Linked DNA regions of Zea mays. The protein of the gene in region 2 interacts with the protein of the main gene of each other region in a pairwise test. Links are inferred from orthologs where the notes say so. Each region holds a gene or a part of one and is shown on either strand. Other genes may lie near its edges.

Region 1 (4,150 bases), on a different chromosome or scaffold from region 2:
CGGCCACCATTTATCGACATAGAAACCGAAACAAAGCATGCGGTATAACATCTAGAATGCTTAATTAAAACAGCAGCAATGGCAGCTTCATCGCATACACCGGCGCGACGACGACAACAACAGCAACAACACAAGGTATACTAGAAGATAATCTATCAGAATCGAGGACGGCGGTTCTGGTTCTGGTCACTCCTCAACATCAGCAGCAGCAGGTCGTGAGACTGAATCCATCTTACTGACCCTCCGCGGATTCTTTCGGGGCAGCAGCATCCTTGATCTCGTCGCCGCCATCCTCCTGGCGAGGAAAACGCAGAACAATGGTCGTCAGATGAGAGCCATGGCAAGTGATACGCAGAGGGGGCCGAGAAGGAACTCACGTTGGTGTCGGAAGTCCATAGGGTCAAGTTGTCGCGCAGGAGCTGCATGATCAGAGTGCTGTCCTTGTAGGACTCCTCTCCCAGGCTGTCTAGCTCAGAGATCGCCTCATCGAAGGCCTGCAACAAAGATTAAATTTACTTCAAGCCAACTGCATCCAATATAAAGCCCAAGATGCTTAAATTGATGGGGAACGTCAAGAGTACTTCGTTGCATAGGGAATGCATCTGTCATCTCAAGTACTGTATGAAGACCGTCATGTCCAACTTCATGGATTGCAGACAAGTTAGACAGTGCAACCATCATACAAGGGAAATTGAGAATTCTCTAGGTGACTTGTAATCATTAGGTTGTAGCTTGTCAATGTTCAATATGTAGTAGAACATGTATGCAAGAAGACGTGACAGATTGAGTGAAAATAAACAACAGCCTCCGTGGGTGGTAGCAAAAGAAGCATTTTGTTAGCACCCAGAGTAATTAGATCCATCACTTACACAGTGCCTAATGTAAGAAAAAATTGTTTCAGTGAATAGGCATGCAGACGGAGGCAAGTGAACTATTTCCTTTGCACCATCTTTTTTTAATTGAATCAACCAAACCCCTACATAAGCTGATGGAGACAGGAGCTGTTTATGCACACTCAATCCGTTGCCCAGAAGCTACACACAATCTAGGAGACATCATGTCTCAAAATTAAAACAAATCACAAAGGGTCTCAAAATGAAAGCAAGTCACAAAGGGGGGATAGAAGGAGAAGAAGCAAACCTGTTTTGCAAGGTTGCAGGCGCGATCAGGGGAGTTCAGGATCTCGTAGTAGAACACTGAGAAGTTGAGAGCGAGGCCAAGCCTGATGGGGTGGGTTGGAGCCAGATCTGCAAGAGCAATGTCCTACAAACCCCCCAAAAAAACCCAGAAACTATGAATCACAATTAATAAGATATGTACACCTTCATCCTATCAACATGTACACCATGGTCCAACCTGAGCAGCTTTGTAGGCATTCATGGTGCTCTCCGCAGCATCCTTCCTCTCTGCACCAGACTTGAACTCAGCAAGGTACCTGCCAAATCATCATGTGGAGAAATCAGATAACAAGATATACGTGCTGTAGGGTAGGGGGTAAAAAAACCATGAAACAATTTCACATCTTTCAACCATGCATTACAGGAGACAGCACAGCATCGTGCATCATACAGGCAAATTCATAGATAAACAACTTCAACGTGCAACATAAATAAAAGGACAACAACCTCACTAAAAAACGTCACAGCCTACACAACCCCTTTCCCCTTTTTATCTTTTGAACTTTCGGCCACAAATAACAAAAAATTCAAACAAAAAGACCACACATTAAATTTAGACACAATTGATAATAAGAACTCATGCCATCTCCAACCATTTCCCCTATACATCTCCCCTTATCTGTATTTTTTAATATATTTTACTACACTAAACTCCCTTATTCTCCCACTATGTTTTGTCTCCAACCATTCCACCTATACACTACAATCCAGCTTCCTCTATACACTACAGATTAACATTTATTTATCTTTTTTCTTTGAATTAGAAGCAAACAATATTTATAATACCATAATACACATTATTATAATATCACGGGAGAGCATATCACTCCCCCTATATAGAGAAGATTCTTCTCCCTATACATACAGGGACCTTTTATAGAAAACCTTTTGAGTACTACGCACACTGTATACACGGTTGGAGGAGGTTTTTACAGGGAGCCTCATGCCCCTGCTACCATACAAAACATCTACGCACAGATCTCAAGTTAACTTCTCCAAAACACAATTCCCATGGTATGGACTCCTCCCTCCTTCGCCACTCCATAAATAGATCGCATAGTCTAGACTCTACATGCGGATACGCAGAATAAAAAGCGAGATCTGCTAGCGATAATGGTATACCTGTGGTAGTCACCCTTCATCTTGAGGTAGAAGACCTTGGACTCGGCGCCGCCGGCGGATGGGACGAGGTGGGAGTCGAGCAGGGCGAGGATGCCATCGCAGATGCGGGCGAGCTCGGTCTCGATCTTGGAGCGGTAGGCGCGGATGGAGGCGGCGTGCGCCTCGTTCCCGCGGCCCTCCTCCTTCTGCTCGATGGAGGAGATGATCCGCCACGAGGCCCTGCGGGCGCCGATGACGTTCTTGTAGGCGACGGACAGCAGGTTGCGCTCCTCCACGGATAGCTCCTCCCCTCCGCCGGCGCCGCCGGCGGAGCGCGCGACGCGCTCCATGAACTCGACCATCTCCTCGTACCGCTCCGCCTGCTCTGCCAGCTTGGCCATGTACACGCTCTCCTCCCGCGTCGGCTCCGACGGCGACATAGCTGCGAGCGGCGGTAGGGTGTGGTGGGACGGGACGGGTCGGCGGATCGGGGTCGCCGGCAGCACGGACGGTCGCACGGTTGTGGGTGGCGCAGAGGATCCTGTGGAGCGGAAGCGACGAGTTTGTGCGGAGGTGGGGGAGGCGATGGGTGGCCGGGTGGGGGCATTTGAGGAGGACGCGAACCCTGGGCAGCGGGTGCGGGGCCCGCATGTCAGTGGGATGACGTGGCGACCAAAGGAACGTGGCGCGCGCCGGGGAGTTCGGTGCGGGAGGGAGTATGTGTGGTCGGCGTTATGGCTGGGAGGCGGATGGACGGTGGAACACGTGAGGAGTTCTGGTTGGGTGGAAATGGTGTTTGCTGCGTGAACGAGGTGTGGGCGGGGAACGTGAGGCGGAGAGGCTTGAGCGGTCACAATCTGAGGATGTGATGGGAGGTGAAGCTTCCCCCATGCTTCTGCCATTTAAATTAGAACAGAATAATTTTAAAATATAATCTCATATACATCTGTAGTCTAACGATGTACGTAGTGTAGATATTGTTTCCGGTGTTTGTATTTTACGTTGAGAATGCTGATGTACTGTGAAGATCTATAAATATACAGCTTATTTTTAAATTAAGAGTTGGTTTGACTTCTCGAACCGATACTATAGGCAGTAAATCAGGGATCCCATCCCTCGTCTCCCCCACTTTCAAGGTTTTGTAGAGCACGAAGAGAAGGCATGTTCGTTGCCGAAGAAAGACACGATGAAGATCTAAGCATCTGGAGACGAGATATGTAGTATACCGCTAGATACATATAGGGAGAGAGCACGCAAACGAAGAGAGAAGCCCAGCCGGAGCAACTCCAAACCAAGAGGCACCCACACCCGGCATTAGTCTGAGAAGGGCGAGAGAATGCGAGTGCCTTCCCAACCCTAGACCCATCGAGGAGACACAACACCACCACCAACTATGTAGCATATGCCGACTGTTGTCACGCTACTGTGATATCCTGGCCCCTGGGATGGTAATATCCTAGACCAAGGCTTAATAGAATTAATAGAGTACTCATACAAACAAGGTGCATCTTCTTTTTCGGAAGCCTATCTCGAAAGAACCTCCAAGTTAGGCGTGCTTGACTTGAAGCAATTTGGGATGGCTGACCGATCGGGAAGTTTTCTTGGATGCGCATGAGTGAGGACAAATTAAAGTGCGCACAAAAGACTCGTGTTGATCTCTGGGGACGATATATGATCATAGAGAGCTGTTAGGAGTAAGTACCGCTGGTCCAGAGATTAGACAGGGTGTTACAAGTGGTATCAGAGCCGGCCCTCGCGGTTTCACGGGCGTGTGTGGGTTAGGGGTTCGGGTATATAGCGCATGGAGCATGTGGGCTCGGAGTGGTCACATGACATGGCATATGACGACACTAGACACACCTACGTGGCTA
Region 2 (3,482 bases):
CAAAACAGTTTTTTTTCTTCAAAAGTATAGAAAACCAGCAGTATAAAACGAGAAAGGGATTCGCTAACTGATTTCTCTCTCTCCATTTTCTGACGACAAACAACATCCATCTAATTTAAATCCAACAACCAGCATTCATTCTGCTGCACTTATTCTCAGTACTCGGAATGGACATGTTCTCTCTTGTTGCTAATTTAGGTTCGCTTCCAGGCAGATATAAATATATGAATGAATGAGCAAACATACGTCATCTGTGTTTGTTTGCCACAACTCAGGAGGGAAAAACGAAGCAAAACAATAATACTGAATGTGTAGCGGAGACGCTTTTGCTTGGGCCAAAGTAAGAATTTTTATAAATACATACATATATGTGTCCCTCCTCCATCTGAGAGGCGATAGTTATTGTTACAAAATCGATGTTACCATCAATCGAAAAACCATAAAAGAATCCCCCTGTATAACTACTCTGTGATTTAATCTGTCCAATGACGTAATTTACCCTCCAAAAAATTTACTTCGTATGCTGCTGCTGCTGCTAGTGCTGCTGCGTCGACGCTGTCGTTTCCTTGTTCCACGTGTCTACGAAGCGGCTCATCCTAGCGAGTGCAACATCCAGCGTGTCCAGGCTCATGTTGGCGAAGCACACCCTGAACCAGCCAGGCTCCGAGCAATGGCACGACGAGCCCGGCGAGATGTTGAGCTTCGCCTCCCGCAGCATCCGGTCCCACAGGCGGAGCTCGCCGGCGACGGTGGTGGCCTCGCCGAGCAGCCGCCTCATGTCCATCCACACGAACAGCCCGGCGTTGCCGCGGAGGCACGGCACGCCCGCGCGGGCCAGCCCGGCGACGACGTGGTCGTGCCGCGCCCGGAGGCGCTGGCGGTTGGTGCGGACGTAGGCGTCCGCGAACCCGGCGTCCGAGAGCATGGCGGCGAGCGTCTTCTGCGTCTGCGACGACACGAGCGTGAAGCTGGACATGCGGCGCGCCGCGGTGACCACGGCGTCGTTGTACGAGTACACGACGCCGACGCGGAACCCCGGGAGGCCCAGGTCCTTGGACAGGCTGTACACGATGTGGACGCGCTCCGCGACGCCGGGGTCGCCGCGGGACTCGACCAGCTCCGCCACGCTGACCAGGTCCGGCGCCGCGAAGACCGAGCCGGAGTATATCTCGTCGGAGATGAGGTGGATGTTGTTGCGGGCCACGAAGTCGAGCACGTCCTCGAGGGCCGGCCGCGTCACGGTGGTGCCCAGCGGGTTGGACGGGTTGGTGAGCAGGACGGCGCGGACGCGCGTCCCCGCTGCCTCGGCCTCCTCGTACGCCGCCTGGAGCGCGGCGGCCGTGACCTGGAACCCGTTGGCGCTGTCGCAGTGCACCGGCACGATGTTCACCCCCGTCCTCCACCGCAGGTCTCTGTCGAAACTGCAAGCAGAGCATGTCAGTTTGTCTGTCTGTCTGTGTAGAGCACTGTTGCGGTGTAACAGTAGCATAGCGCCGGGGGTCCGTGCATGCATGCAGCATGCTGGATGCTTCTTAGCGCTCCGCTTACCCAGGATAGTAAGGAGTAGGGATCAGCAGCGCGTCTCCCGGGTTGGCCAGGACGAACGTGAGCAGCTCGTTAGCTGCCGTGGCGCCGGCGGTGAGCACGATGCGGTCGGGGTCAAACCGGGCCTTGCCGCCCCTAACCTTCTCCATGAAGTTGGCCATCGCCTGCAAGCAAAATGACGCCGTCAGTACGTTGCACTTGTCCAGGCAGGGTCTATCCAGGACACCGAACAAGACGAGCAGAGCAGGCGCTCGGGGTCACCACGCACCTTTCTGAAGGCCTTGAGGCCGTGGTAGTCCTGGAACAGCGCGTTGTCCCTGAAGCTGGCGACGCCGGAGCCGGAGCCGCCCCAGCCCGCGGCCTCCGGGTGGTCCCTGAGGTACCCCTCGAGGAGGTCGAAGGACACCTGGTTCTCGGCGAGGCCCATCTGAATGACGCCGCCGGGGTTGGAGACGGCGTCGTAGGGGTTCTCGTCGTAGGCTTTCCACCCGGCGAAGTAGGGCGAGTCCTCGCCGTGGAGGCCGGAAGTGGCCACCTTTGACAGGGGAGGCGACGCCACCGCGTGCGCGTGGCGGCTCTGGCTCGCGCCCAGCAACAGCTTGCCACCCATCGCCTCTGCCGCCCTTGGCTCACGCACAAGCGCGCGGTGCAGACGACGATGCCTGCAAGATGGATGGATACGCACACGCAGTGCAGTGACCGCCGCCGCCGCTCGAGGTCGAGGGATGAGCAAGCAAAGGACAGAGAGGAGCACAAGAGGCTGCTGCTGTGTGATGCGGTGGTCGATCTGGCCAAGTGTGTGGGGGGTGGCATATATAGGCGAGTCAAGTATATATACCCGTGTGAAACCACCCAAGATGTCAAAAGGCGGAGAATTGAAGGCAGGGTCCAGAGCAGACGGAAACGACCAGACTGTCCGCTGCAAATCAAACGATATAATAATAGTAACAATAAAGGGAAAGCCGGGAGCTTTAGTCTACTATAAGCGCGAGTGCGCTCAACCTACGCAAAGCCTTAATTTGCTGATTCGTCGTTCCCAGCCGGAGCCAATGATTGAGGCTGAGCAATGGGCGGGGCAGAAAGGAGGGAGGCGCTGACGACGATCATGCCGCGGATACGGAATATGCACGGCGGAGTCCAGCTGTTTCCCCGCGGCAGCGAGAGCAGCCCCCGCTCTGTCGCCTTTCGCCGGCTGGGGGGAGTAGGCAGGCAAATGGCATGGAGGGCGCCTCCTGCGATCGTGCGGACAGATGGGCGCCTCGCCTCATTATCCCCGTAGCCAGTAGCCACCCGCTCTGTTGATCTGTTTGTTTATTAGTCCCCCCCCCCGCGACGCGATTGGAGGGAGCTCATGGCCGACGACGACGATGGCGTTGCTGGTGGTTCGGCGCCAGCGAGATCCCCCAGGGGAATATTTGCCGGCTTCGTTCGTTCGTTTCACGGCACGGCACGGCACGGCATGTCAGCCTGCCAAGGGACGAGCCAGCTGAACAGGCTCGCATCGCATCGCATCTCTTCCGGGGAATTGATCGTCGACTGAAAGCTAGCTAAACATCTCGCGCTGGCTTGTCTCCGTTGCCATATGCATGCTGAGCCTTCTTGCAACTCCTGTTCGATCTGCTGCCTGGACCATGGGGATATGGAGATGGATTAGAGTAATGCATGCGTGGAGTGGTTGGTGTGACAGAGATGATCGTGGACTTGCCCCAGCGTTTAATTAGGGTTGATCACGACAATTAAGCAGCAGCAGCAGCTAGTAGTCTACATACGTGTTTGTTTGACCTCGAGAGGCCAGCGACTGAACAAGAGCGACGAATGATATGATATGAGCCCTCTAACTACGGACGGCTTGTCTATCTCTCTCTCTCCCTCCATAGAAATAAAGATATACATGGCGCTTCCTTTTCGAGACGCCGTCGTCGGGGGGCATTAAGATA

The links.
Region 1: the proteins of 1-aminocyclopropane-1-carboxylate synthase 7-like (region 2) and 14-3-3-like protein interact in a protein complementation assay, tested with the Arabidopsis thaliana proteins (2 studies listed by BioGRID). The link is inferred for Zea mays from reciprocal best matches to the Arabidopsis thaliana genes ACS7 and GRF2.

Annotation. Positions count from the first base shown.
Region 1 is NC_050097.1:231,390,721-231,394,870, forward strand, and holds the start of 14-3-3-like protein, read right to left. Parts: upstream 2,805-4,150; 5' UTR 2,720-2,804; coding exon 2,301-2,719; intron 2,193-2,300; exon of another isoform or gene 2,044-2,192; intron 1,436-2,043; coding exon 1,357-1,435; intron 1,264-1,356; coding exon 1,141-1,263; intron 642-1,140; coding exon of another isoform or gene 606-641; exon of another isoform or gene 512-605; intron 495-511; coding exon 378-494; intron 296-377; coding exon 233-295; 3' UTR 1-232. UniProt on the Arabidopsis thaliana protein: Is associated with a DNA binding complex that binds to the G box, a well-characterized cis-acting DNA regulatory element found in plant genes.
Region 2 is NC_050098.1:6,385,308-6,388,789, reverse strand, and holds 1-aminocyclopropane-1-carboxylate synthase 7-like, read right to left. Parts: upstream 2,315-3,482; 5' UTR 2,156-2,314; coding exon 1,814-2,155; intron 1,710-1,813; coding exon 1,549-1,709; intron 1,422-1,548; coding exon 536-1,421; 3' UTR 510-535; downstream 1-509. UniProt on the Arabidopsis thaliana protein: 1-aminocyclopropane-1-carboxylate synthase (ACS) enzymes catalyze the conversion of S-adenosyl-L-methionine (SAM) into 1-aminocyclopropane-1-carboxylate (ACC), a direct precursor of ethylene.